2 linked regions of the Danio rerio genome follow. Each later gene encodes a partner of the first gene's protein in a complex. Links are inferred from orthologs where the notes say so. Each region holds a gene or a part of one and is shown on either strand. Other genes may lie near its edges.

What was found.
Region 2: taf4a (region 1) and taf10 share a complex: the UniProt entries of both Homo sapiens proteins name them as parts of the TFIID basal transcription factor complex. The link is inferred for Danio rerio from reciprocal best matches to the Homo sapiens genes TAF4 and TAF10.

The regions. Positions count from the first base shown.
Region 1 is NC_133186.1:23,081,798-23,098,391, forward strand, and holds the start of taf4a (transcription initiation factor TFIID subunit 4), read right to left. Parts: upstream 10,789-16,594; 5' UTR 10,269-10,788; coding exon 9,572-10,268; intron 2,876-9,571; coding exon 2,736-2,875; intron 1,315-2,735; coding exon 1,201-1,314; intron 1-1,200. UniProt on the Homo sapiens protein: The TFIID basal transcription factor complex plays a major role in the initiation of RNA polymerase II (Pol II)-dependent transcription.
Region 2 is NC_133183.1:27,701,839-27,717,199, reverse strand, and holds taf10 (transcription initiation factor TFIID subunit 10), read left to right. Parts: upstream 1-2,297; 5' UTR 2,298-2,516; coding exon 2,517-2,634; intron 2,635-5,389; coding exon 5,390-5,547; intron 5,548-5,636; coding exon 5,637-5,701; intron 5,702-7,024; coding exon 7,025-7,139; intron 7,140-7,236; coding exon 7,237-7,326; 3' UTR 7,327-7,508; downstream 7,509-15,361. Other genes in the region: cacna1sb (calcium channel, voltage-dependent, L type, alpha 1S subunit, b), read right to left, coding at 11,358-11,576, 11,662-11,748, 11,833-11,918, 13,643-13,701, 13,789-14,012, 14,094-14,216, 14,347-14,474, 14,920-15,021 and 1 more. UniProt on the Homo sapiens protein: The TFIID basal transcription factor complex plays a major role in the initiation of RNA polymerase II (Pol II)-dependent transcription.

The sequences.
Region 1 (16,594 bases):
GTTCGTTTGTTTGGTGCTATTTATGTTCATGTATGTGTGTAAATGAGAGACAGTTTGGTGCTGTGTGTCCGTGTATGTGTGTTTATATAGACAGCTTGTTAAAGCCACCCCCCAAAATATAACACTGTGTATGGAAATCAATGCACAGTGATGCACCGAGATATCGAATTGAACCAAATCGATGGCATGATAATCGTAACCGAACCAAACCGTGAGACCAGTGTAGGTTCACACCTTTAACTACCACATAATCTGCCATTTTTGAACATGTTTGTTAGGGGTAATCTACATTACCCTAAAGCCGCACTATGCACATGTGACAGCATCATTTTCAAAAGTTTCATTTTTGGGTAAGACAATGGCAGCGTTTTTTTAAAAACTTCCAATTTCAAACCTATTTTCATCTTATGCATTTGCAGTCTTAAAAACAACTATGTCAAACATTTAAAGGAGTAAAACTTAATTGTAAATATGTACAACCAGATTAAATGATTCCAGTTTTTAGCTTAAAACTTTTTCATGTAAGCAACCCCGAACAGTGATTTTGTATTTTGTTTTTGATTAATGGTTATAAACAAAAGCAGGTTGCTGTCTCCTGAAAAGCAGCTGTTCCTTTTCACTTTATTTGTAACCAATCGTATAAACAGGTACTGAATTTTTAATGTTATTTGACATAATTAGATTATGCTTAAAAAATAATGCAAAGAGAGAGACAGTGCATGAGTATGGAGTTCTCACGTCTTTCACTTCAATAAATTGCTAATTCAGAAAAGTGATAATGTATTGTTTAAATCATTCCAGTATAAATACATATCAATAGGTTTGACAACACTTCAGGCATGGGCCGGGATAAGTTTCTGACAATATGATAACTTTAAAATAAAATATATAAAATATAAAAATAACACGGTTTCACGGTATTGTGATTGCTGCTTTAAAATATAATCTTTTTAAATGTCTGTGGTAAAAATCAGCAACTTTTTCTACTTTAAACATATATTTTATTTTGAGAAACATTTCAAATATTTTGGAACAGCAAACATGTCAGGCTAAATATTTCAAATGAATGTTTCTCTTCTGCTGTCTTCATTTGTTTCAAAAACACAGATTTCTTTACAATTTAAAACGCCGTCTTTGGATATCTTTTTCTGCTGCAGATACTGTTGAAAACGATTAACATCTCATGCCTACAAAACTTACCTGTACAGGTGGTCTCTGGAGTGTGGTAGTGGCTGTGCTGCTGGCTGTATGAGAGCCCTGCTTTATTATGGTGGTAGGGGTCACCTGTCGGGCCATAAGAGGAGTTCCAGGTGCCTGCAGGCGTACAGAAATCACACAGACGTCAACTTGCTGATACTGACATGAAAAAATGAATTATAAAAAAAAGAACAGAACTAGTTTATGGCTAACTGTAAAATTAGGGCTGAACATTAATAAAACATTTAATAAATATGTAAATTATAATCATTATTACTTCTTTCAAAACATGCTGATTTATTTCTCAGAATTACATAATCTAGTCTAAAACAGCTCATGACATGTGTTATTATAAAGGGTTGATGCAGATTTCATCAAGTCAAATATAAGCCTTTTTAAGACCACAATGAATGAAATTTTAGACTTATACAGGGCTAAACACTAATGATTACTTCTAATGGCCTGGTTGTAATTATTATTGTAATTATGTAAGGTAATTATTTCATTAATGTATCAAAACAAGAAAACTCTAATTGTATACACTAATGTCAATACGATATTTCTTTTTTTTTAAATGACACATTTAACATTATTAAAAGTATATTTATTGTGGAGGCAACACACATAAACAATACATACATAAATAATTACATAAATAATCAAAAACATATAAATTTGTTGGCTTTTAGTCAAAATTAATTAAGTATAACTCAATAATGTAATCGTTTTTAGTTTCTTTAGTAATTGTTTCCCTGATATTATTAAGATGGATTGCTGGTGATTAGCTGGATGCCAGCCCAATTTGTTAGCTTTACTTGGACAGAGAAAATTTAAGACCTGTTTAAAATTATTTACGACATACAATACAGTATTTTAGGGAATTTAAGAACTAATTTAAGGCCTAAAATTTTGTTTTTGAAATTTAAAACATTTTAGGATCTGGCAGATACCCTGATTATAGATCAAATTATTAACATATTTTACATTAGGGCATATTTACATCAGGGCTGCACACCTTACAGGTGCCAACATTAGAAGTGGATCAAAAAAATATTTATTTAAATCATTATTCTAAATTGTTCTAAGACAAGAATGGGGGTTGTTAAATAGTTTTAGGACAACTCTAAGTGATCCACTTCAAATGTTGACTACTGTATATCAAAACAAAATCAAAGTAGTGATTGGGCTTAGCCTGACTTTTACACAGCACAGGTTTTAAAGCTAAAAGCTCCAGTAAATCATCTTGACACGTAAAATAAACTTCATTCTGAAACGGCAGAGCATTTTTAATTGCTGACAATAGATACTATATTTTTGCAGTAAAAAAAACTTTTTTTTTTGTTTATTTTACAGTACAGTTGTGTTTATATATATCTCTATAACATTTTATAGACACAGTTTACACACTGTTTTATTTCTGGTAGTTTATAGAACCACAAATATATTTACTATTCCGCAGCAACAGCTACAGTCATTCTCAAATATGCAGTGCTGCTGATGTCAATTCAGTTGAGGGTGGTCAGATCGGATGGCATCACCTGAGCAGGAGTGATCTGCGCAGGGGTGGTGCTGGCGGGGGCAGCAGGGCGGGCGGCCTGAGTCTGGGCCTGCAATTGTGCCAACATCTGCTGTGGAATCATCAGCAGCTGACCACTGTCACTGCGCACCAACACCATACCTGGACACACAAACACGACACACACAGAAAGGTTGACATCACTCCCTATGCAAATTGTTATTCATTAGTGAGCTTTTTTCCTATTGATCTGACTGGAATTGAGTCTGGCAAGCGTGCCCTGCTTAGAGGCAGGAAGAATAAAGCGCACAGTTGGTGGCCTATATTTGCATGACACACTGAGAACCGCACAACACTCCGTCTCCCGTTACTGTGTGAACCAACGGATGTGTTCTCAACAGAAACTCTTGGTCGGAGAATCCAGATGGCCTCTTGTAGAAAAATCTGTCAAGTACTCTGTCCAGCCAGACAACGAGCTTGTCAGAATGACCAGAGCACACAGTCATGAGAGAAATCTTCAGAAAAAGATAAACTAGATGTGCATTTCCTGAATATAATACCAGTGTGTGACTGCAACGTTTTCAAACTTGAATTAATCAACTCTGGGTCAATCTACAGGTAAATAGGGTTGGGTTAATTAATTAATTGAAAAGAAATCGAAATCGACATTTAGAACCTATAATCGATCTAATTTTTCCAGGTAATTTTTTCAGTTACGTTCCCTACGATGTGTGGCGTCACATGACCCTGCTCTGTTAAGGCTAATTTATACTTCTGTGTCGAATGCACAGGTATCGTCTGGCACAGCCTTGATGCGCATACCCATGTACCTCTTCAAAATGTAACTACACATTGTCCATATTAACCACTGGATTCATTCTGGCTTTACATTTATTGGCCACCAGTGATCATTTGTAATATTAGTTTGTATTATTTTGTCATGAAACAAAAGAAAACAATAAAAAATAGAATTAAAAAATGTAACTACACATCGCAAGTTTGCACCTTGACAATGATTGGAAGCTGCGCCAGAGACGACATATTTTCCATTACAAAAACAAAATTATATTTACATTAAAATATTAGTTTACAGAAGATTCAAGAAATGCTTAGATTATTATTTACAGGATATACAAGTCATTTTATTTAGAAACTATACTGCTTATTTTCTACTTTTAATATAAAAAAAAATTAACACTAAAAATAATTGTTTTTTTCAAAAGTGCAAGTTTTCTTTTTTTTACTTTTTTATAAGAAAAAAGTGACTGTTGGTTTTAGGCAGAGTGTGTATTAATTTCAGTTGTTCAATGTTGATATTCAATAAATAATCATAGATGGCACAGTATGTGTTTTCAAGTAATGCTCCCTTCATTCAAAAATCTCTCACTTGTAATACTGTAAAAAACTTGCTCAATAAATAAATTAAACAATCATTCAATAATCGAAATCAAGGTTAAATGTTCAATTAATAGAAATTTAGATTTTAGGCCAAATCGTCCAGGCTTAAATCTAAACCCTGGTTAAAAAAGATTCTGGGCTTTCTGGTTTCACACTGCTCATTCATCACCCACACTGTAAAAAATTATAAGATCAAATAGTCATAACAGCATATGTTTTAGTTCAATGTAACTTAAGTGAATCATGTTCTAACTTAATTTTATAAGTTACACAAGCTGTTTAAGTCGGTTCAACATGATACAAGTTCAATGAACTCAAAAGGTCAACTCAAATTTGATTCAGCTTAAAAATTTAAGGCAAACTGAATTTTTTACAGTGCAGGTTTAAAAGAAAAGTTCACCCAAATTGACACACTATCTAATTACCCTCAACTGGCTCCAAACCTTAATGAGTTTCTTTCTTCTATATTGATATTTTAAAGAAGGCTGAAAACCTGTGGCAATTGACTTCAATAGTAAACAAAAACGAATACTATGGAAGTGGAAGTCAGTGTCTGCAGGTTTTCAGCTTTCTTCAAAATATCTTCTTTTGTGTTCACAGAAAAAAAGAAATTTAAAGAGTTATAAAACACGGGTGAGCAAATAATGACATAATTGTGCTTTTTGGGTGAACTACCCCTTTACCATTCAACATGGGGTATTCATAAGGCGAGGGATGACACAGAGATATATATATTGATATAGAGGTATATGATTCTAACAGTATGATAGGGCTGGGCAATTAATCAAAAAGTAACGAGATCAAATTTTTCCAGATCAATTGTTTCAATTACTTTCCCTACTGCATACGGAGTCATGTGACCCCAGTCTGTTTACACTCTGCGTCGAGTGCAGCCTTTACACGTTCGTATACCCCTCGCCATAACTGACGCCAATGCTGACCTCTCAAAAAAACATACGTCGCAACGACACATAGCACAAGCTCTGTGATTGGTCGGCTTGGTAACATTGACGAGTGTGGGTGCCATGGAAAGGGAAAAAATACAGTAAATAAATTTAAGAATTATTCATTAATGTGAATCGAGTTAAAATGTTCAATTCATCGAGATTTTGATTTTCACCCAGCCCTACAATATGATAATCTTGGATAAAAATATCATGGTTTCACTGTACTGTGATTACTGCTCTAGCATGAATTCTTTTTAAATATCTGGGTAATATACAAAAAAAATATACACAGTATAATTTATTTTGAGAAGCATTTAAAATAATTTGTAATTGTAAGCATGTCAGGCTAAATAATTCAAATGAATCATTGGCTTCTGCTATCTTCGTTAGATTTCAAGAACACAGATTTATTTACAGTTTAAAATGCATCTTAGGATATATTTTCTACTGGTGACACTTTTGCTCTAATAAAAAAAAAAAAAAAAGTTAAAATCTTACATATACCATAGAAACGATTAAACAGAAAATATTGGCGTTATAAAACCTTGACTTTTCCAAACCATGGTATACCTTGAAAACGGTTATCCTCCCATATAGAGAGAACACCCTTGTGGGCAAATTTGCTTTGTCAGTATCATTGTTTTGATAAATACAGAATGAGACCTGTTTACGTAACTGTTCTAGCATTGTGCATCCTCATTTTACCAGCAAGTTCTTCCTGAATGGACTTTGCAGACTATACATGTAAGAATGAAACTTTTTTTTCACTAGTCACATTTTTATTCATAATTTGACTTTTTTTTTTTAAATGCTAATAAAATCCCATTTCTTAAACAAGTGTGTAAACATGAGATTTAAAAGCTGTCTTTAGAGAAACCCCAGGGTTACACAAAATGTGGAAATGTGTCTCATGTACAGTATGTGTCTGAAAGAACTTGCGAAATCTGCTCAGATTACAATACCTACTAGATCTGGTAAGATTGTGAAAGGAGCACACAATAGACACTATCCCATGAGGCTATGGGTGAGGATCTGTGCATGACAGTTAAGCAACAGGAGTGATGCTGGTAGCTCACATGACAATGACAAGTCCAATGCAGTATGCAGAGTAGGCCTGTCACAATAATCAGTATAGCGACTCATCGCAAAACACATGGACATGACCTCAATCATTTTTGGTGATGCAGTATATGTATCGCCTAGGGTTGTAACGGTATGAATTTTTTACGGTATGATAATCGTCTAAAACAATACCACGGTTTGACGGTTTCGCGGTATACGGTATGTTACAAATGTTACAAAATAATAGAACAGTGAAGCAAATTTGACTTTTTCCAAATAATATATTTTTAGTTACTATAAGCAACACCACTTACAATGAACAAATAAAAATAAGAAAATAATAAATAATGTGTCAAAGCACTGGAAAGCTGAGATTCTCTTCTTTATGCCAATCTTTGAATTGTATGAATCGGATCAGCGGATCAAAAGTTATTAAACATTTAAGAGCAATACTTATTTTTAGCCGCGGGCGGCTGTCTCGGTCTTTAAGGGTTAAAACCGTTGATATGCAATTGTTCATGGTATTATAATCGTGCACATTCAAATCGTGGTAAACCGTCATACCGGTATATTGTTACAACCCTATCGCCCTTACTTAAAAACCAACATCTGCAACATCTCTATCTCTAGTGGAGGTGTCAGTGTCAGTATATGGTTAAAAAAACACTATAGTATTTACTATAAATTACTTTAGTATATGTTAATGTGGGTGTCTGATACAGTAACTGAAACAATCTGGTAGCAGATATCGCAGCCTCTGTTACTTTTTACCTTGCACTTTTTTGATAACATTTATTTTTATTTTGTAAGATATGCAGTTTCACATTCTGATTCAAATGCCTAATTATTTAATTTCTCAATAATTCAATTAAATGAAGTTTGTTCATAAACTAATTTCGAGAGGATCACTTGCTTATGATTTATCACGGCCGGTCTCGTATTTGCTAATCACTATCTTCCAATCATATGAGTCCTAAGCTACTATAAATAACCACAGTTTTCAGTTAATTTTATCTACACTTGGAAGAAACCCCCCTTCCTCCCCTATTCTCCTCCTTTACCACTGATCAGGCAGCACGGAGGCCCAGTGGTTAGCACTGTGAGCCCCACAGCAAGAACACTGCCGGCCCTGGTCCCACCAGGCCGGTCGGTGTTTCTATGAGGAGTTTGTATATTCTCCCCGTGTTTCTCCCCGATGTCTCCGGTTTCCTTCACCATCCAAAGAAATATAATGTGTTTTTCAAAAGAGTGAACTTGCATTGCAATGCTATTATATTGTCATTTGGCATTTTATAATGAGTGGCAAAAAATAGATATCGTATCGGCCTGATGCAGAGTGTATGATTTATATTAACAAGGTAGAAAAAAATTAAGAGACCTTTTCAAAATAATTTTCAAGTCTCTGGATTTACCATTAATAGATGCAGGTTTTTATTAAAATGTTTATTTGGGTTTTAAATTGATTTTATGAAATACTCATAACCTCAAAATTAAAGATATCATTTAAAACATTTTTTGCAGAAAATTACAATAGGTGAAAGAAAAATATTCCATATTTTCAGACCTTAAATGTGTAACATACATATGATACGTTGAATGCGATGTTTGCAATAAAAACCCAAAACCTATAAAACATTTTTTTTTAATTATAGGTATAAAAATAATTATAAAAACAATCAAAACATATTCGGTAACATTATATTGCAACTGTTTATATTTTCCAAAACAACTAACCACAGAGTTATGGGTAGGCATGGGACGATAACCGGTTTCAAAGTTTACCGCGGTTTAAAAAAGTCAAGGGTTTAATACTGGAAAATGTTTCTGCTATACTGTTCCTAAGGTATGTATAAGTTTTTTTACGTGTTTTTACACATTTTTTTATAATTTCTTAGAGCAATAGTATCTTTAGCAGAAAATGACCCTCCAAAAATGCCTTTTCAAGTTGTAAAGAAATCTGTGTTTTTTAAAAAAAAAAAACTATTAAACCAGCAGAAGTCAAATAAAATATATTGTGCTTAATGGGGAAAAAAGTTGTTGTTTTTCACAAAGACATTTAAAAAAAACATGAAACTGTGAAATTTTTATCCAGGTTTTTTTTTTTTTATATCGTCATACTTATACCGGCCCATGCCTAGTTATGGGATAAGAAAAATATCAATCTGTAAACATATTCTATATTTTAAATGGGAAAATAAACATGCATTATGGATGTGACCAAAAAGGTTTACAGTACACAGCACACTTTGTAAAAATTCTGTGAATTAAACTGCACAACCCAAAAGAAATAATGCTAATCAAAAGAATAAGAGTTGGCCCACTACAGAACAAAAATGATTAATTTTATTTGACATTTTTGCATTTATGAGTAAAAGGCTTTGTTATGTATGTGACACTTTTCAATTATGGATGTGACAAATGTGAAATTGCCAATTGTGTGACTTTAGTAAAGCAAATAAAATAGTTTGAAACACTGACAGAGACATGTTTGAGTATTACTATTAAATACTTGCTTACACTGAAAAAAAGTGTAAAAACGGTTTCTCTATTTAAGTGAAAACTTTATTTCTTTCATGGCAAGGTTGACATTTGCATGGAATTGCTTATATATGTGAAATACCAGAGCTGTATATACTTTTTTTGTGGTTGTGAAGTAATTACCTACACATAAGCGTGAGTGCAGACAAGGCACTTGTAAGAAAGTAAAAGAACAAGGCTGAAGACTGAACAGTGCTGACTAAAATTACCCAAATGGATGGTCAGACTACACTTCTTGTTAGATTTACATCTATTATTGTATATGAATGCTGAAGACTGGAATCACATTTAAGAAAGAACTTTGGTGAACTCTGACCCTCAAATTTGTATAATCTGAGATGTGACCTCAGATGACTTTGTACATGAATTGATACAAATGTACATGAATGAAGAGTAGCTTATTTTATGAATTATTGATATATATTAGAGCAAATTAAAAAATATGCCACAGAGTAAATATTAATAATTTAAATTAAAATATAGTTAGTTTTTGACTAAAAAGCATGGAGAGGACTTTAACATCAATTTGCTTTCAATCGACTTATAAAGACACAGTTCACCCAAATATTACTAATAATCATGTTGTTGGAAGTCTGCAGGACTTACTTCTCTCTTAATAGAAAGAAAAGTCACAAAGAATGTATGGAGACTGAAGCTGTCAATATGTCTGACAGCTCCTATTGAAGAAAGCGAGTTAGGCATGTTCGGAGTGTGTTTTAGATAAACTAACTTTTAATTACACTCTAATGAAGATATACTTTTGTTTTATGCACTTATTTTTTTCAGTTTGCAAGTATTTCAGGAGAGAGCAAACTTCACACGAAACCAAAACACTCCTCGTAAGTTTCTCTATACACATATCATGTCATTCCAGACAACATTCAGGGAAAGTGCTAATGTGAGCGTGGGGTACCTGGAGGTAGCTGGATATTCTGGATGTTCTGGCCCGGGCTGCTCTGAGGGAGTCGGGGCGCTAACACCTGTGGCGCGCTGGCCCTGATGGTCGGGCTAGATGATGCTGATGCTGCTGCAACAGTTGCCGGAGCTGCGGTTCTCGCAACCCCCTGCAAAACAGCCCCCTTGGCCACTGCAGGGCCGACAGTCATGCTGCCTGCGGGCTGGATGATAGTTTTAGGAGACTCGGACTTGCTCGCGGTGACAGGTGCAGAAGTCTGGTTCAACAAAAGAGGGGTCGTTGTAGTAGTAGAACTAGTAGTAGTAGTTGAAGTAGTAGTTATTCCCGGGGTCGCTACATTGGCTACAGAAATGGTGGTATTATTATTACTTCCGTTAATAGTTAAACCTGCTCCAGCAGTTTGCATAGATGGCCTGACAACTGTCACTAAGGGTCCTGCACTGGATGCTGCGGCTGGAGGAGTCCCGAAAGAAGACTGTATCACTGTGTTTGGGCTTGGGGCGACCGTGACGTTTCCGAGTCCTTTCGCCACCCCGGGCCCGTTATTAACAACCGGGACAGAAGTTGAAGCGTCGTCTGACGATGATGATGATGGACCACTGGACACTGGAGTGCCGCTTTCAGTGTGCGGATCCATTGCATTGCCTCCGTTCAAAGTTTGCACTGTGGACGTCCCGATCAAAGTAGTTACCATAGCATTAAGAAAGACCGGATCGCCTTAGCTGTCTTCCATCTGTGCCTCTGGCACATCAGTTCAGGAAGTTTGGGTTTTCATCGGCTTTTCCCTCCAGTTGCTTTTCGAAGGAAACAAGCGTGAGTGAATGGGAGTCTCGTGTCACAATGTCAATAAGGATTTGACAAGCGCCCGTGTCACCTCAAGTCCATTAGTAACAATGCTCTTGGGAGAAATAATCATCTAACACACTTGAAGAGCGACTGCTTTCATTATGTTCATATGTACAAGAGCTCGCAAAATGTCAACATTAGCTAGTTGAATTGCCTCTTTTCCCGGAGTCAGCGGGGTGATTTTCCGGCTGCCTGGGCGCTTACCTCAAACTTATTATGGCAAGATGTGGAAACGTCTAATCTAATACAACCTGAAGTGTCGGTAAAAAGTTTCTTTCCCACTCTTTTAATACAGAAATCCTTATATAGCAGGTCAAAGCCTGCCGCCATCTTCGATGTGAACAGTGAGGAGCTTTGGATAAAATGACATTGCGCATGCGCGCAAAAGCGGAAACGTCATTACGCTGAAGTTTTGTGGAGCCGCCATTGGTGGTCTCCGTGCGTGGAGGCGGGACATGAGAAACGTCAGTTGATTCTGGCGGAGCGCGGTCAGAGTCGGTCTGTCATCGAGAAAAGGGCCTTGTGAAGTTGAAAAACAACCGTTGAATTATACGGGCGCTGCTCTCGGTTGTGTCTAGAGGCACTTATAGCTGTTATGTGCGGGTTATAAAGCATGTAGAGGCTGTTGTGTGAACTTCACAGCGGGCTGTCTTCCCCCAAGATGGCCCCGTGTTTTGAAGCGTCTGTGTTGAAAGCGTGAAAAGGCGCCACACCTCTGCCAGCGTGACTGGCCATAGAGGGCACGCGTGCTACTGCAGCCATAGTTCACAGGGTTTCTGGTCACACGCTCAATCTTCACTTTAACTTATGCTACACTTTTTCTGTCAATGTGCACAGCGTTGCATCGGGATAAAAAGTCTGTATTTTGCAAGCACGTTATAAATAAAATATGGCTGATTAAATAGTCAACGAAGTGACAGAAAGAACCAATAGAAAGCTCTTTCTTGAACCAATAGTACCTAATTTTTTTCTAACATAATGTGAGCTGACACATTTGCTCTCAAAAGTCCTCCCTTATTTTTATAGGTGTTTTTTTTTTATAATTTGATAACATTTTGTTAAAATAGCAATTAATGAAACTTATATAAAAAACTTTATTTATCTGTGGTTGCCACAGCGGAATAAACCTACTTATCCAGCATGTTTCACGCAGCGGATGCCCCTCCAGCTGTAAACCCATCACTGGGAAACATTCATACTCTCTCTCATTCACACTTATACCCTACTGACAATTTAGCTAACCCAATTCACCTATACCACATGTCTTTGGACTTGTGAGGGAAAACCAGAGCACCTGGAGGATACCAACGTTAACATGGGGAAAGCATGCAAATCCCACACAGAAATCCCAACTGACCCAGCTGAGGCTCGAACCAGTGACCTTCTTGCTGTGAGACGACATCGTTAAACAAGCATCACTAAATATTAGTCGTGTTTTTCTGGTTGTTTTCACTATTTCTAATCATTTCAATTAAGGATGAGAACTTTAACACTTAACATCTATACCAGTGTACTTTACAACTACTTTAATTTACTAATTTAATTAGTTTAATTTTTTAATAATTAAAAAACTATTTAGATACACAAGCATTTTATTGGTATTAATTTTGCACTAATCAATATCACCAGTGAATCAGTAAACAAGTATGAGTTTTATAAAAAAAAAGGCAGATCAGATCAATGTTCATAAAGGTCGCTGATGATGTGTGGTCAACGTTTCTTTCATTTCTGATTTGAATTAAATAATGTTTATGTCATCGCGTAATCTGCTAGATTGAATGGAAAAAATAAACATAATGCTCTGGAGCAGTTGGTTCTTCTTGTATTTACAGTATACAGTGCATCCGGAAAGTATTCCTATCGCTTCACTTTTTCCATTTTATTTTATGTCACAGCCATATTTCAAAATAGATTAAATTAATTTGTTTCCTGAAAAATGTACACACAATACCCCATAATGACAATGTAAAAAAAGATTTTTTGAAATTGTTGCAAATTTATTAAAAATAAAATACCTGAAAAATCACATGTACACAAGTATTCACAGCCTTTGCTCAGTACTTTGTTAATGCACCTTTAGGAGTGATTCCAGCGTCAAGTAATTTTAAATGGGATGCTACAAGCTTGGCACACCTGTCTTTGGGAATTTTTGCCCATTCCTCTTTGCAGTACCTCTCAAGCTCTATCAGGTTGGATGGGAAACAACGATGTACAGTCACTTTCAGATCTCTCCAGATATTCAATAGGATTTAGAGGTCTGGGCTCTGGCTGGGCCACTCAAGGACACTGAAGCTGTCTTTTATTAAGGAATTTTGGAAGAGAAGATAAAAGCATGATTATACCTAAACCATAATTAATTAATATAATTTTCTTATGGCAAAACATTTAATGATAAAAAAAACCTCAAATTGAATGTGAACAAAACGTTTTGCTTTTAAACGATCAATATCAAGGATTTTGTGTTTATTTTAAGTTAATCATGTTTCAACTTATTCCTAACTTGTACATGATCCAACTTAATGTTTTAGGTCAGTTTAATTTAATGCTAATTTGATTTCACCTAAAAATTCAGTATGTATTAAATCGCAGCCCTGACTTTCTCTGCTCATTCGCTCACAGTTTCAATGACAAGCTGTTTGTTCTAAAAGAGATTTAAATGATTGTATTTGCATCACAGGTGCGGCTCTCCTGATGTGTGTGACGCTCATTGAGTGCCAGATTTAAATATCAAATATGCATCAATTTTTTATTGTTACTTTCTCTACGGTGTAAAACATAATTTCACAGTTTATAATGAAACAGTATTCTAGTGACCTGTTCAAGTAAATGCTTCAGAGGTACAGTCGTTTTTCCTACATTACTTGCTGAAAGGTATTCATTCATTAAATTTCTTTTCAGCTTAGTCACTTATTAATCATGGCTCGCCACAGCGGAATGAACCTCCAGAAAATGTTTTTTGCAGCGGATGCCTATCCAGCCGCAACCCAACACTGGGTAACACCCTTACACTCTCATTCACACACATACACGGCCAATTTAGCTTATTCAATTCAATACCGCATGTCTTTAGATTGTGGAGGCACCTAGAGCACCTAGAGGAAACCCACGCGAACACGAGGAGAAAATGCAAACTCCACACAGAGATGCCAACTGACCCAGCCGAGGCTCAAACCAGCGACTTTCTTGCTTTGAGGCGATCGTGATACACACTGCGCCTCCATGACACCCATTGCTTAAAGGTATAGTTACAAAAAAAAGATTTCCTCACCATTTTTTCACATTTAAGTAGTTTTAAATTCTTGTTAGTTTCTGAATTCTGTTGAACACAAAGAAGGATATACTGAAGAATGTTGAATAAACAGCCATTCCTTTACATTTTATCACTACTATAATAGCTAATTTTCTCCAACATTCTACAGAATATCTTTTTCTGGAAGAAGTAGATGGTGAGTAAATGATGAATTTCATTTTTGGATAAACTTTAATATTCACATCTAGTGAATACACCCAAAGTTGTAGATTAGCTCTTGACATTGGTGGTGATATACATCCCTATAGTGCAAGCATAGAACAGCACAAATTTTCTTTCATGCTATTCAAAACGTGAATAAAGGCTTTAAATACTTACAAATAACAATTAATGAAACATGTCCCATGCTGCAAAAGTCAATTGACATGATTTTACTGCAATCTGGCATTATGGAGGCATGAACATAGAGAAAATTGGAGAGGCACCTGATGCAAATTAACCGCTTTATCCTAATTAATATTTTTCAGAATTATGAAAGCCAAAATCAAAACTAAATTTAAATTACTTGCACAGCCTTGGTTAATATTTCTATGGTGGACTCCAAGCTAACTTGCCTTAAAAAACTTGAATCTCTGAAAAGTAGCTACTTATGTCCACATCTTGAAGGAGGCCTGGAAAAAAATCCTTGTATTGGTGCTTCTCATATCCAGATGTCGTTGACAGCATAAATAGGCCCAGCCAATCACACTGTTGTTTTGTGTTTGTATGAGGAAGGACACCAGTAGAGAATGTGATTTAACCCTTTATGCATGTTTAGATTACTAAGGATTGACAGAGCATTATTTTATTTTTAAGGTGATTAAATTATTGCCGGGGACATTTCAGTAATTGCAGGATATTGGTGGAGACACATACCCTTCGTCCATGCCATATCTACTCCCCTGGTTCACCCAAAAACTGAATATTGTGTCATCATTTACTCACCATTGACTCTAATAATATTTGCTTTTCTTACAATGGAAGTCAGTGATTAGATCTTTTCAGCTTTCTTCAAAAAATCTTTCCATCACTCGTTTTTAATTTGTTTGTGTTTAACAGGAGAAAGAGTCCTGTAAAGGTTTGAAACCACTTAGGGGTAAGTAAATAGGTAGTAAGTTGTCATGTAGGGGAATATCTTACAAATAAAGTGGAGTTACTGTAAAATGATAATAATTAAGAGTTCTAGCATATGTAGCTTAGTTCATGGGTATTTTGTGTTTATTTATGCTTTTAAATTGCATTATGAGATCTAGATTTTTGCTCCAACAACTTTTTATCTTGAAAAGTTTACTGATTTTGTTGACAGTTTCTTTGGGAGAGCAGGAGCTCAAGTCATTTCTGCGGGGTAAAAATCCTGAACCACTATGATGATGGACTTTGGCTAAATGGTTTTATGACAAAAATAACATTTGAGATGTTGTGCAATGTGGTTGGTCCAGTGGTTTGTCTATTAATACTATGACATTGTGCGAATGTTTCACATGATCAGTTAAACCATAATAACAAGACTTTTATGATGCGCAATGAAAAAAATGCTCTAACAACTTATGATCTAGAAAAGTTTACTGATTTTGTTGACAGTTTCTTGCGTTGCCCGAGCCAATACTATCTGACTGCAGACTTATATTGTAAGCTGACACCCAATCTTAAACATGCAATCTCAGACAGGTAGTGTTAGGCGCGGGGTTTGGTATGCACATTAAAAACATTGCATGCAGCTCATCTTGCATCTGCTGCCAGATCCTATTCAAGAGGGCTCAACGTGGTGCAACTTAAGAAAACACCAGCAAAATAAGAATTGGAATTGAAAAACACGCTGCAAATGCAATCACAAATAACAAAACACATTGCAAAGCCTCACAATGCAAACGCAAAAAGAAAACTGTGCTGCAAATTTTGACAACACATACATATAAAGAAAACATGTAGAAAAATCCTTAGAGCACATGCACATTGTGATCTAAAAAAAGTTGACTGAAGTTAGCATTGTATTTAAATGATATCGTCCTTTCAATCATTAGCCTACTAAAAGAGCCCTAATATTTTTTAATTAGCTTTTTACTTTTATCTGCAATTTATTTAGTCCTTATTTTAACAATAAAGCATTGTAAATTGCCCTATTAACCTTGAACTCATATTTAGTTGAGGATATTAAGTTAATTTCATTATCTAATAATGATTCACAGTTAATCATCAGAATATTTAGGCTAATAAATATGCAACAAAACAAAGGAATTGATTAATTAGGGTGTAAAATAAAAAAAAATAAAAAAATAACTTACATTCAGTTCACAACTTCACTGAGCTTTATCACTTTTTTTCCACATCCTCCTAAAATGTTTCCATTGTGGTCTATGTATTTGCATGTATTGTGAAGATTTGCAGTGTGTTTTTCTAATTGTGTTTGCGTTGTGACGATTTGCAGCAAGTTGTTTTTTTTTCCTTGTCTGTGTTGTGAAAATTTGCAGCACGTTTTTCTACAGTATATGTGTTTGCATTGTGACAATTTGCAGCACACATGCTATCAAACCGATAAAGATGTTTTCTTAATTTTGCTTGTGTTTGTTTTAATGCATGTGTTATCTTAAGCTGCTGCACATTAAACTCTCTATGCCACCGTAGTTTCTGTATTTTTAAGCAATTTATTCCCTGGGATCGAAAAGTAAATTCAAAATCTGCTTAAAGTCCCCATGAACTGGAAGCTTGTGACAACAAAATATTAAAGACAAAACAGTGGGCGTGGCTTGTTTTTCTACTGTGAATGGATGTAGTAAAGTAGGCATTTTATTCAGAAAGATCAGGAAAAAGGTTTGGGGAGAGTTATTACAACCTAATAGACTGTTTGTTGTCAAATTTCTGTTTGTTGTCAAAACCGACAGTTTGAG
Region 2 (15,361 bases), on another chromosome or scaffold:
TTAATATTTGGTCAACCAAGAGTCGGATTTCGACACCAATCAATTATTGCATTTCTTTAGAAGCCATAAATAGTTCTGTCATTTCTTTTGAGATATCTTTTTTTAGCTGATCTGTTCTTATTGTGCCAAATGATTTCACACTTCTGTTCTGTGTCAGGCTTATTTTAGTAGGACATTCCACTGATATTAGTTGAGTTTAGACTAAACATCATTGATCTAAAATGTTTTGCATTTGTTTTTGAATGTAAAATGTTTTTAAAATGTAATAAAATTGTTGAAATTTAAGTTGTTCATTAATTAAAACCCTTTTTGCAGTTTTGGTTTTAGAATATTAATATTTGCACAAATGCATAACTACAGCTGAGCTTTGGCAGTATTGACTTTAATGGATTTCTGTGAAAATCTGCACCTTGTAAAGCAGATTACACAAACAGCACAATGTTGTTTTTGGTATTTGATCATTTTTCTGTGAAATGTAATGCTAGGAGGATGAGGAATGAGTGTTGTAGTCTTAACGATTTCATCTGATGGCATGTTTTTTTTATCTTTTTGTTCGTCATTCCAGCGACTTGACAATGGTTGAGAAGGCATTGAACCATCCTGACCATATCTGTACCTTACTGTCAGCGTCTGTGTCAGTCGAATCTGGTGGTTATGGTATCATACTCTCGTAGGCTTATACATATTGATATGTGGCTTCTATATGCACATTTATTTTTGATTTTGTTACTAAAGTGTATGATTCTTGTGACAATAAAACAAAATGCTTTTAATTTGGAAACATTTTATGTTGGTCATTGATGTGACTACTGTTATGTGTGCCACCCATATATCTAAATCGAAGATGTAGATTTAGAAACCTTATTGTGATTTATAAAAATAAATGATCAAATGCAGGCAAATAATAAAGCAATAAAAGTTGTATTAAAAATTGTAAATATATTAATAACAAAATAATCTTAAGTTTCAAATTATTAAAAATATTTTTGTAGTTTTATGTTCAACTCGTGACACTGTGTTAGGGTGTGTTTTGGCTTGAAAGAGTTTAAAAATACGAGAACAAACCTTTGTGTTTTCACACACCCAAACATTTTTTTTTTCTTTTGTTAAATTATCTATTAATTAATATTAGTGTCCAAAAAAAGCATTTAGGAAATTAATAACATTTTCCCCTCCAAGATCTAACACACTTAAGTTTGTTCTAGAAACCTTTCAGAATAATATTTATTATTTTGGACTGGATTTAAGCAGGCATTCTAAGGAATTTATTTAAATTTCATTAATTCCAAAAGAGCTCTGGTTTCCCACACAGTCCAAACACATGCAGTTAAGGTGAATTGAATAAACTTAATTGGTCGTAGTGTATGTGTGTGATTGAGGGTATATTGATGTTTCCCACTACTGGAATGCAGCTGGAAGGGCATGCGCTGTGTAAAACATAGGCTGGATAAGTTGGCGGTTCATTTTGCTGTGGCGACCCCTGATGAATAAAGGGACTAAGCTGAAAGAAAATGAATGAATAATGCCATAAGATTTAATAGCCATTTTTAGAAATAATAAACTCTAAATGACAGGCTATAAGATGATATATTCAAATTTTAATTAAAGTATTATAATAATACTTACAATATTATTATAATATATATAATATATTTAATACTAATACTCAGAGTGCAAATTACTCTGTCAAATTTAGCCTTTTTTTTTAAATGACATCTAAAGACATTTAAATATTCTCTTATTATTTTAGAGGTTACTGTAACTCAAACTATACAAACACCTATTTTACAAGAGAACTGTCTCGAACACTACAGTATCCACGCTGTTGAATGAGTCTTGCAAAGACTGATTGGCGCGATTATGCCTTTAACCATAGGGGTGGTCAAATTTATATTTGTATAATCTATTTTATTTTAATTATTAATATTATTTAAGATAACATGAGTAACATGACAGCATGTAAGATTGATACGCTAATAACAAGATTATTTTGTGGTTTAAGTGTATTAGTTGCAGTCACAGAGACCTTAAAGTGTAATTTGAACACTATAACTATATTTAAGTTTTCTGACATTCCTTTGTGTGAAATAACCCACTTCACCGCCATCACTAGATGGAGCTGTTGCAAAATGTCCTCGGTCTAGGTCTACACACGCAATATGTTTCTTCTTTCTCCTTTTGGATGAACTGCAAATTATATATTGAATGCCAAATACGTATGACAAAGTTTGCGCTTTAAATTCAATACTACAAATAATAAATGTGAGCTAAAAGGGATTTATCCGGAACCATTGACGATTTCCAACACCAAGCGGGATTTCATAGTGGTTGCACACGGAAGTGTTGATCACCTGACGCAGTTGCAGCGTAAATATTTTTATCATCAGAGCGAGCGACCGATACTTCGCCGTTTAAACGGCATAAATGAGCGCTCGACTCAACCCAACATTAGTTTAAACTGTGTGTGTTTTTCTAGTATAGCTTAGCGTTTGCAATACATAAACTAAGCCGGGAAAATGAACGTGGATCTCACGCAGACCGGAGCAGCAGCGGCGGCGTCCAGCAGCAGCAACTGCGTCCCGAACAGCAGCACCACAAACGCCAGCAGCATCCCTGCGCTCGCCAGCAGCAATGGTGTGTGTCTCTGTGTGTCTTTTCCACAACACTCATTTTTTACTGGGCGATGTGACTTGAAAATAATAACAGTTTATCGCTTTTTTTATATTAGTTGTTATCGCCAATTATCACAAAAAAGTCACAACTTTATTTATTTCACGTTTTAATGCAGATTTTTGCTCCTGAATAATAGTTGTACGAAGCAAACAGATAACTAATCGTTTAAACTTCTCGTATATTGTAAAACTTGTCAAACGCATGTCAAAGAGATGAACATTTCACAGATCTGAGGTAACGTTACAGCAAAAACCAACGTTTTTGGGACACCCCTCCATTGAATTCAGGTGTATTATAATCAAGCACCTAGGCATGCAGACAAACATTTGACAGAATGGGTTGATCACAGAAATCCAAGTGATTTTAAACGCAATGTGCAATGTGGCCTACATGACATTTCCTCACTACAGCTAAATATTACATGGTCAACTTCAAGTCTTCTTTCTTGGGGTGCTCTTGCTTTTCTTTTTTACTGCAATTAGTACAACAGTGAATTTTCAAGGGCAATAGCATAAAACGGGTATAGTAGTATAGACAACAACTGAAAAACAAGCCAATCACATTTTCAAATCAAGGTGCAAATAGTGACAATTTATTTTAAAAAATCGATTTAAGAAAGTAAAATTTGTTTCTTTTAAGGTATAAAGGTAGTGAGACAACTGTGGGGGGTAGAAGAGGCACATCATGCACATATATCCTGGCAGTGCTTAAGAATGAACAGTTTTTGAGAAACTACTCTCGGCCATTAATTATATTTTTGATCTTCATATTTCTAGATCATTCAAAGTACTTTATCTAGGGGACATAACTATTAAACTTGAAAAGGAGGCTGGATATCTATTTAAAATATTATTGGCAAAAAGTAAGAAAAGCTATAACCTGGAAATGGTATGAAGAAGATCCGCTCAAAATAATAACAGAAATGGAAAAAATGATTACAAATAGAAAAAGAGATGGCTGGCTTTCTCTACAACGGCAATACAATTATCCATAATTTAACGTTTACGTAATTCTAGAGGTTATGCATCATTGCGAGAATGTTTGTCAACCTTTTATTATATTTGTTTTGTACTTTTTTATTCATTTATTTTCTTGATGAGGTTAATTTACTGTTTTTTATATATGTATGCATATAGATATACTTGTGTGGAATGGATGTATTTGTGTATATACACGTATATACTTGTTATGTATGTGTGTTTATATGTTTTATAGTTTGTTTTGTTCCCACTGGTTATATGTTTCTAAAAAAATACATAAAAACTAAGTATTAAAAAAAGATAGTAAGATGTGAGTGATAGTTTCTATTTTAAAATGAGTAAAATTAGTTTACTTACACTTCCTATTTACACTTTACACTAAAATACTTTTCCATTATTAAACAGTAAATTCACAATATACCAAATTTTAATGTCAACATAAACTCCTGGGGCAGACTCTGTGCTTAAAGAAAATGAAGAGCGACCAATTCACAAAATTTGTGGTTTTAATGCATTTATTTACACAATTCATAAAGCCACTTTAAGCTGCATCATATTAAAAAAAACTATTAGTTGTTATATTGTAATCCTGTCACATATTACTGTTTTATTTGAAAATTATATCATGTAAAATATAGTTATCATGTGTTATTACCACGGCCAGACAGAATCTGCAGACATTTTTTGCTGTTTCTGCGCAGAAGTAAAAAATGTGTGAATTTATGCAAAAAGATTTTGGAAGCAACTTAACTAAATACTTAATATATGGAATTTTAACTTATTTAATTTTTTAATTAAATAATTAGATGCACTTATTTGGTAAACAAAGCAAGTCTACTAAAATCTACTAAAAGACGAAATATTACTTTACAAACTGTATTGTAAATAAATCATATGAACATTTTCATATGGTCAATAATATTACTGAAATAAATGTAATAATAATAATAATAATAATATATATATATATATATATATATATATAATAAAATATATAAATTTGGCAAAAAAAAACCCTGTGGAAATCTGTGGATTTCTGCGCACACAGATTCCATGTGGGCCTAGTTACTACCCAGCCCTGATCAGAGAGCTTAGCATTTACCTACAAACATTTAATTATAAATTCAATTATTTACACTTAGTTGTCCAACTTTTGTCCAAAGCAACTGTCAAATGAGAAAGGGTATTGTGATTTATCACAAAGAGCCAATGCCCACTTTAATGCCTGTATTAACAGGAAGTTGTTGCAAACTTTTATTTCAGTGTGATGACCTATTTCCAACTGAATTGAAATATTGAGCAGTGGGCGGGTTTTATTTTTGTGCTCCTGTCATCTTTCACTTGTGGCAAACTTAACGGTTGAAGAGGTGTGGCTAAGCATCTTTTGCTCCAATCTGTCAAACTGACGTCATCAGAGAAGAACTGCCATAACAGAGCAGAAGCAGATGGTCAGATTTAGATTAAACTGTTCCTCTTAAGTGGATTAACTTGCACATATGAATCGTTCACTTTGAGACTAACAATCTGCGCTAGCAAAATAATCTATGGAAATTTTATTAAATGCAGACTTAAGTAGGGAGGGATTAAGGAAAGAATGAGAAGAAGAATTTTTTGTTAGGTTGTAGTTTAGTGCTCATGAAAGAGAAGTTTTAGCTGCCTTTTGATTGTTGCCTGTAATGTCAATTGTTGTTTTATTGCCTTAAATTGTCTGTTATACTTACTTTCCGCCCTCAAAGTGTCTACTTCGGCTTCCATGGCAACCCCATCCTCCGACTCCACTGTATCAAACGGCGTGTATGTGCCCACAGAGATCGCCAACGGAGACGTGAAGCCTGTGATCTCAACTACACCACTGGCAGATTTCCTCATGCAGCTGGAGGATTACACTCCTACAGTGAGCTCCCTTTTGTGATTTGTAGTTTATTCTTTGGTTATTAATGATATTTTATGAGTTGTACTGCTAACAAACTGTCTGTGCTTCAGATTCCAGACGCAGTTACAGGATACTATCTCAACAGAGCTGGATTTGAAGCATCAGATCCAAGGATGTGAGTTCGGAATAAGAAAGCTTTCTCTCAGAAAGCTGTTGGGTCAAATATGATAAAAGCACTTTAAATGTATGAAAGATAAACAAAAACTCTTAATACTTTAGTTTATTTATCGGTTTCCACGATTTCACTACTGGCTTATTAGCTGCCTGTTATTAAGAGATTGGCAGTTTATTAGTACTTCTAAAGTATGATCTTATTCTACATCCCTAATCCTACCCAATACCTAAACCCAACTTCTACCTTACTAACTATTAATAAGCAACAAGTGAGTAGTTTGAGCTAAAAGTGTTAGATAATGGGTTGTTAACAGCGAGAATTGTACCTTAAAATAAAGTGTGTGTAAAATAAAATGTGTAAAGTGAACATGTAATAATTTTATAATTTCAGATTTTCTCAGAATTTTTGCTTAAATTGTTTAAAGATGCGATTTAGGTGTCATGTTCATCAGCTGGAAAATTAAAACTATCCAAAAGTTGTTCCAACGTTTTTCTGGGTTGTTGGACGGGTCTTTGATCGGGGCTCTCTGGGGGCAGGACCAGATGGCTGCCGCCTTTATCGGACTATATCCACATCCCCTGTTCCCATCACCTGTTGCGATGTTATGTCTATGTGTTTTTGTGCTCGTGCTGGGGCTTTCTTTCCCCTGATCTTACACTGCCCTACTTCAACGGCAGTCGGAGAGGGTTTTTTTTTTTCACCTCCCTTTTCCCTAATATATTTTATTTCCTCTTTCTAAAAGCTACCTTCCATTAACCTGTCTTCTCCTGAATTATGTGATGTTTGTTTATGGTCGGGGTGGTCCAACTTCACTGCATGTAAAAGTGTATGTGGCAGGCTGTTTTCATCATCATCATTATACAATTTGTAAACCTTTAAATGGTTATTATGCTCCGGTTTTCCCCATAAGTCCAAAAACATGTGCTGTAGGTGAATTCAGTAAGGTAAATTGTCTGGAGTGTATGTGTGTGTATGGACGTTTCCCAGTGATGGGTTGTAGCTGGAAGGGCATCCACTGTGTAAATCATGTGCTGGATAAGTTAGCAGTTCATTCCGCTGTGGCGACCCCAGATTAATAAAGAGACTTAGCCGAAAAGAAAATGAATAAATGGTTATTATTCTTAGTATGAACAGGAAATAAATATCACATTTGTCTAATGTAAAGTATTGCATTTTTGTTAGTCGGTAACAAGCTAATATTGAAAATGCTATCTTAATATAAAAGGTTGGTGTTAATTTTTTAATCATAAAAAAACATGCTTTTATATCTTCATAAACCCCTCATGAATCTGCCTTTACATCATGTCCTTGTTTCTTTGCCAGAATTCGTCTCATATCTCTGGCATCTCAGAAGTTCATCTCTGATATTGCAAACGATGCACTACAACACTGCAAAATGAAGGGCACAGCCTCTGGAAGCTCCCGAAACAAGGCCAAGGTTTGTGCGCACAATGCATTTTAGAATGACTATATGTACAATATAAAAAAAAACTTGATCTTTAAATCTCACATGTTATAATCATCTCACTTTCCAGGACAAGAAGTACACTCTGACGATGGAAGATCTGACACCGGCTTTGGCAGAGTACGGCATAAATGTTAAAAAGCCTCATTATTTCATCTGAGAGCTTCATTCTAATGGACTGCTGGAAATGTGCTAATTGTCAAGATGAGAAACATCAGCCCACTTGCTTTTAGGGATTTAGCAGCTTTTTTGTATTTTTGTTAAGCCTGACTGAGTTATATTATGCCACATGACTTAGTTGATGCCAGTAAAAAATCTTGTATAAATAAATTCATTACAATACAATTCCTGTTTTGGTCATCAATCACTGTAAATCAATCAATCAAATACTGTAAAAAGAAGTCTTAAATTAACCACTGTAAGGCTTGTGATGTAAGTTCATACACTACATGTATGATCTTCTCATCTTCGCTTTATGGGTTTAGTTTCATGCCATAAGGAGCTGGAGCTGTAACGTGCTGCAGTATTAATAGTACCTGAAGGACCTGCTCAAGTTTCTCGCAACAGTCTAATACAGCTGAGACCAATCATCATGTCTTCAGAGAAAACATTATATAAATATAAGAATATTATTAGAATAGAATCGATCTTGACTTTGCTTCTTTCAGTTGCTCTATGTGCTCTCAGGCGAATTCAATGTAGGTCACAAAAAGGGTGATGGGGATTCATAAGAAGTATGCTAGATTTTTTTTAAGTTGCTAAAACAAATAATTTTATCCCGGTTTATTGTTCGGTGATTATAAGTAAGTCATATATGGGTCAAGATATCGAAGCTGTTCACTTGGGTCTGTCAATCACTGTTCAGTTTGACTAATAGCGAAAGTTTGGGGCGTGGCTATAGCAGCAGGTGGGCCTGAGGATGATTAGCTAGTCGGAGTCTGAGGCGTTATCTGGGAAAAGAGATTAAAAGTGCGATATAAAATGTACTAAGTTACTTGCCAAACTACGCAAAGATATACAAAAATACATGAATAGTGGTGGTGCTTTACAAGACAGAAGAATTTGAACTGTGTTTCATTTGAGACTTTTTCACAGGTAAGCTAAACTCTTTGTTACAAAGCATTACATGTTGCCACTTTACCGCCAAACCCCATTTCAATTGTTAAGCCGTGTCAGTATACGATAGTAATAAGACAAAATGTCAGCAGCATTTGCAAGGATTGTATATAGTTTATTTTTTGTAATCCCACTAGGAGGCACTAGTTGAGCAGAAACGGCATAATATACTTCAGTGGATCTCAAAGTTTTTTCATCGATCAAGTACCACCTCAGAAAAAAATTGTCTCAACAAGTACCTCCAAAATGACCAGTATTGAAATACAGTAGCATAACTACTGACTAAAAACGTCAACATTTTAATTAAAATGTGCTTTTAAAAGGTAAAAATTAAAGGTTACTGTTGTTAAAAAGTAAAAAAAAAAAAAAAAAAAAACTCCTGTAAAGTATTAACATAGTAGCCTATTTATCAACACCTGGAAACATAGGCTATATGTCATCATATTCATATTTAAATCATTTTTTAACATATTTAAATCATTTTTGTACAAATGACATATTTGATTCCTCCGCGTACCACTAGAAGGAAGCCCAAGTACCACTAGTGGTACACGTACCATAGTTTGAGAACCACTGATATACTTCATTTTGTTCAGTGATCAAAAGCAGTAGCCTAAAGTATATTTGAGAAAAAGTGGAATTATATGTTAAAGTTGCCCTCAAATGATTAGCAAATTTTACAAGATATGGTAAAATATGTGATATAATCTGAATGGTTAAAGAGCATTTATCTATTTACAAAAGGTTAAAAATGTTAGCTTTTCTCCTTTCTTCAATTTATTAAAAATTAAACCTCATTTCATATTCAATGACAAGGCACAGGCTGAAGTGGATATGTATGTATATGCGCAGTGAAAATCCAATAGCAAAATAATTGCACTTTGCAATGAATAAAATACACGGATGTGCTGAACAAAGTCAAATGTTGTTTAAGAGAAAATACAGGGAAACATATTAAGAGTAAACAGCTTTAAGACTTCAGCCAAAGGCATCAACACATTCTTTTGTCTTTAAATTTCAACTTTACGTATAAACATTGCAGCACTTCAAAAGTGAGGTCATCGTGAGCAAAATAATTTGAACTGAGATGATAAACTTCTAAAGCAACATTGTGTTTTCAGTAATGATTATTTCACTATTATTTTCATACAGTTAAAAGGAAGAAACACATATCAATGTACACCTGATGTCCCTGGAACACTCCTCTAGCCTATTAAAAACATTTTTAAGAAAAAAGATGTCAGTGCCAGTAGGTATTGCACAAAGAAAAATGGTTCTTCTGACAGGGACAGTTTAAATCCGGCCTGCGTTACGTACTGATCCCACTCTCTTTCTTTTTACTCCATTGTCCTATATCCATCTCACCTGCACTATACAACATACTGTATAAGCCACTAAAGTATATTAATAAAAAATAGTTTGCCTATGAGGTGGATTTTGTGCTCTTTGGAGTGTGAAGTTAATCTATATATTCAGGTTATATGTGTATAATCTGCTTGTAGACTTGCATACCATTAAAACAATTGGACATGGGAAATGGCTTGAGGAAACAACTAGGGGTCATAAAAGAAGGGATGAAAAGAGAGTGGTAAAAGAGCCTGAGGTGTCTCAGGAAACAGATGTCAGAGGTGGAATTTGGGGTTAGGGGAGGGATCTTGTGTAATGTATGGAGAACAAAGGAAAATAATTGTTGTCAAAGTGTATTTAAACAGGCCAGGAGATTAGGGAGGCAGAATTTTTCAGACAGAGATGCTACTGGGGGTCTCCTGAAAGTTCTCCTTTGTTGTCGACAATAAAGTATATTCTTCTGATATTCATAACCTCCAGACTGAGTTTGATTTAGTAAGAGAAAAACCAAGAAAACCACTACACCTATTCTAGGGGAAAAAAATAGCAGTTCTCTCCATAAGCTAGCCAATTTTAGCCGACTTATTATTTTCAGTCCCACTTTAAGCAACGAGAAAGATTCTTTTGAAAAATATAATCTTAAGTGAAATAAAAATGTTATTATGCTTTCAATTAGACATTGTAAGATCCTATACACCTTCTTGTCTCATCTTTAAGTAATTTTGTAAATAAAATAAATGTTCAAACAAATAGAGGCTTTAAGTGCAGAGTACAAACACAAAATAACTATTTAAATAATAAAAAACACAGGCCAGTTTACTTGAAGATGTACTTAACAAACCAAAAAAAGTGTGTTTTTTGAAGCTTTTCTCATTGAAACAACAACATTTTCAAAACTGCCTAAAAATTCTGTATTGTGCATACCAGGCCAATAGTTGGCAATGTAGCACAATGCTATCATCAAAAGTCCTCTAGTCCGCCATTGTTGTTTAACTCGCTCAAAGATAAACTGCTTATGTATGATGTGAGCGTTTTCACAAAATTGCATTTTTTTAGTTTACACTGACATGATAATAGTATTGTTTTCACAAACCTCCACTCACTAACCGATTGTACTTTCAAGTATGCATTTTCAGGACCCCAAAAAGCTGCTGTCATGTAAATGAATGGCCAAAACGAGTTTATAGCTGAAAACTCCTAAAAATGCTGTTGTGTACTATATATTTCTTTTGAATTCACTTTATTTACCACTTTATTTATTCCCTCCCACCCTCTCTCCGATTCAATAACAAAATATTTGTAACTGCGGTGGTAAACCATTCTGCGCAGTTTAAACAAAGTAAAGAAATAAAAAGACTTGCCTTTTAGACATGTCCACAGATTACAACGCTTCAGATGATTGTCTGTATTGTCACACAGTCAATTATAGATGTTCACAGAACAGAAGTGTGAACACTTTATTGAGGACGTTTGGTATAATCGCTTACCAAAAAACAAACCTGAATCAGAGTAGCCATCAGAAATCAAAATCACAAGACCTCATTGAAACAGCATTATGGTACGTGTCCTTTGGAAACATTATTTCTCTAAACCAAAATACCATCTTTAAAAACAGCACAGCTTAATCACTACCTGCTCGTAAACTGTTACGTCTGTGATTTTAAACAATGGCTGAAGCCTCAGGGCGATGGTGTCTCATGGTTTTGTTAAAAGTCTCTCAGTATGTGTTTACACTGCACTTGTGGCTTCCTTGGTTTTGCTGGGAGGAACAGGGATAGGACGTCGCTTGCGTTTGGTTACCTTGCCGCTCTGCCCATTGACAATACCCTGAGCCACGCTCTCTATATCCTGCAAGCCAATATTAACGGCTTCTGCCAGCTCCTTTCTGGTCACAGATACAAACTGTGGGTCTTCAGCCAACGACTCCAGACCACCATCTCTCAGTGCCTGAGAATTCATGGCAAAATACAGATTAATCAAAGTTCAGAGGAAAGTCTGGAATGAATATGAAGAGGACATGCATATTGTTTACCTGCTGAATGAGTTTGTCGGTGGCTGGTGAGGCTTCTGCTGCTGATCTCTGGTTCTTTGATTCTTCACATGAGGGATTATAAGGGAACTGTGAGAGTCACATGCAAACAAATGAGTCAGAAAAGAAAATCAGTTGCTAAGCTTATTATAATGATGTGTTTTGTGTTCAAACCTGTGTAGAATTAGTCTTCACGTTGAAATCTGACAGCCGCCTGTCATTAACATTTGAGGCTCCGCCCACATACAAGCTGGAGTCTCCTATTGGTTGCACAAGAAAATAATGTCATTTAAACAATACTGTAGATCAGGGGTTCCCAAACTTTTTAGCTTGCGACCCCCAAATTAACATTTCCAGTGACTCGCGACCCCCACTATGATCAGAGGTGGGTTTTAAACATAAAAACATTGCACACAACGGTGCTCACACACCAATAGTAACTATACAAACAAGCATATTGACATTATTAATTTGTTTAATTTAATAATAACCTCACTTAATGAAAATAGTGAGAACAATGTTTACAGCGGCAGCACAGTGCCGCAGTGGGTAGCACAATTGCTTCACAGCAAGAAGGTCTCTGGTTCAAACCCTGGCTGGATCAGTTGGTGTTTCAGTGTGGAGTTTGCATGTTCTCCCTGTGTTCGCGTGGGTTTCCTCTGAGTGCTCCGGTTTCCCCCACAAGTCCAAAGACATGTGGTATAGGTGAATTGGGTTAGCTAAATTGTCTGTACTGTGTGTGAATGAGGGTGTATTGATGTTTTCTAGTAGGGAGTTGCAGCTGGAAGGGTATCCGCTGTGTAAAACATTTGCTCTATAAGTTGGTGGTTCATTCCGCTGTGGCGACCCTAGATTATTAAATGGACTTAACTGAAAATGTTTACAGCAAACAACCTGGAGATTATCCTCTATGTTCAGTTGTGACCTTTGTTTTTAATGTATGTGAGTGCCATAAAGGTGTCAATATTTAACTTTAAAATCAATCTGCTGCAATTTTCCCTATTGCCTTGTTAATCTAGCTTAATAACCCCAGGGGTCACAATCCAATGGAAAAATAATTGAAAGGCTGATGGCTTTTTTATTTGTATGTGTTTTTTTATGTAACTATTAAATATTATTTTTATCTCCTGTAGGTTGTAAATAAAATATTCTAATAGTCATTCTAATTGTTTAATAACATCTATATTATTTTTGGAAATCACCAAGCCACCCACCCCCCCTCCCACCCCAAATTTTTTTTGTAACATTACAAATATTTTACATATTAATTCATTCATTTATTCATTCATTTTCTTGTCGGCTTGGTCCCTTTATTAATCCGGGGTGGCCACAGCGGAATGAACTTATCCAGCAAGTTTTTATGCAGCAGATGCCTTTCCAGCCGCAACCCATCTCTGGGAAACACACACACACACCGGACTATTTAGCCTACCCAAATCACCTGTACCACATGTCTTTGGACTGTGGGGGAAACCGGAGCATCCGGAGGAAACCCACACGAACATGAACAGGGAGAACATGCAAACTCCACACAGAAACGCCAACTGAGCCAAGGATCGAATCAGCGACCTTCTTGCTGTGAGGCGAACGTGCTACCCACTGCGTCGCCACAAGTTAATTCAATACATTTTAAATTATTAAATTACATTTATTAATAGATTAACCTGGTTATTTACAATTGGAAAATCTTAAGCAACATAAATATCTCTAAATAATGTCATTTTTGATTAATTTAGCACACTCTTGGAGAATAATATGTTTGTTCTAAAAATATTATATTGTGGTATTTGTTTCACTTTCTTAATAACATTTAATACAACATAAAACAGTATAGTTAACTGTGTTACCAAACCATTAAGGTATAGAATAAAAAAATAAATAAACTGTATGGGTTCATAAAAGTACATTTTCTTAATTCAAAATTATTTTGTTAGTCCCTTAGTTTTTGACCTTTTTTCTTCTATCGCCCACTGTTTTTACTTACTTATGTCTTCATATGAATAGTTTCTGCTTGCTGACAGTGACTCGCTCTCAAATGTAAACCTGGATGACAAAAAAACAGCCTCATATGAGCATCATGACCCTTACAGATACACAAATAAGTACATTTTATTATAATTATGTGCTCACTCTTCAATGAAGTTAGCATTGTTATTGGTGTTGCTTGTTGTTGGCATGTTATCAGGGAAAAACTCTGTGTTTGGGAGGAAGACAGAGTCTGGAGGAGACCCTGCATCCTCCGGCCGATTCTCCGCAAACTGCAGGGGCCTCTGGCTGGTGACCTGTGTGGACAGAGGGCTGCTGGGCTCAGAGGAAAAGGGGTCCGCGTTGAGTCCAAAGAGACCACCTGTCCGCTGCATGAATGGAGAAACAGAGGCTGTAAATACAGATGTCTTTATCTACTTTCATGCTAAAGATGATTGGTCTCAGAGTACCCTGTAGATGCCCTCCTCTCCGCTCTCCATGGCTCGCTCCATCTCATCCTCTGCTATCAGGTCACCTGATATTGCCCTGTGCAGCTCTGGTGCCGCTTCCTCCTCGATGCTGCGCAAACCGGCCTACATAACAAGGTGAGAATAGAATTAAGAATATGTCTTGTTTTATTATTTGTAACCTAGCAAACTTTTTTAGTGAGGTATTTTAATCCTAAATTGATCTTTTATGGTAGACGTTTTTCATAAAGTGCACCTTAATCTCATCAGCGTTCTTCTTGGTGGGCCTGTAACCATATAACTCCTCCTGTCGCTGCATAAACTTGCGGAAATGTTCCTGAATCAGGAAGGTAGCGTAGAATTTTCCAACCGTGACTTCATCCTCTGTAGCCAATAGAATATTTACATCACAGTCAGAAATGTGCAAAATTTATATATATATTTTTTTTACTGTTAAAAAAAGTATATATTTTAAATTGATGTTTTGATATGAAACCAGTTCCACCATCCAACTTGACTAGACATGACTAGAATAATTGGTTATTTTAGAATGCTTGAGGTGATTCTGTAGAGAAGTGCAAGTTCATTAAATATAATATATATTTAGAGTATAGATAAATACAATACAAAGATACAAATCAAATAGTGATTTAAGTCTATTAATAGGAGCAGTCCAACAGTATTCAGGTATAGACATTAAATAATCCAATGTGAAATAACACTACATAGTCTTCACTGTATAAAATAAATGAAATTAATCTCAGATCAAACTACAAACTATCGTTTCTACAAATACAACAGCATTTTATTCTCATCATAGCTGTCTCACCTCCAATTGGTGGAATGACCTGGTCCAACAACTTCATACTGGTCCGTTTCCAGATCGACTTGATGATGGCTCTCAGCTCCTCATTGGCCTGCTCAAAGTTTCCTAACAGAAAGAAATTGTCCATTATTTTATATGCTCCAAAACAAACATCTAAATTTGATTTCCATTACACACCTTCAGTCTTGATTTTCAAAGCTGTTCTGACCAGAGCAAAAAGTGTGGCATTGAAGGTCACTGTGCCATCACTGTTTAGTGGCATGTTCATGGAAATCAGTCGCTGAGATGGAAGTTCACAAATACTGAATTAAAATCAACTCCATAACAACATATAGATTTAAAACGACATTTAATAAACAGGGAAAGACCCCGTAAAAAACATAATTTTCCATAAAATTTTACATTTAACAGAGCAAGGAAATTTTCACAGTATGTCTGATAATAT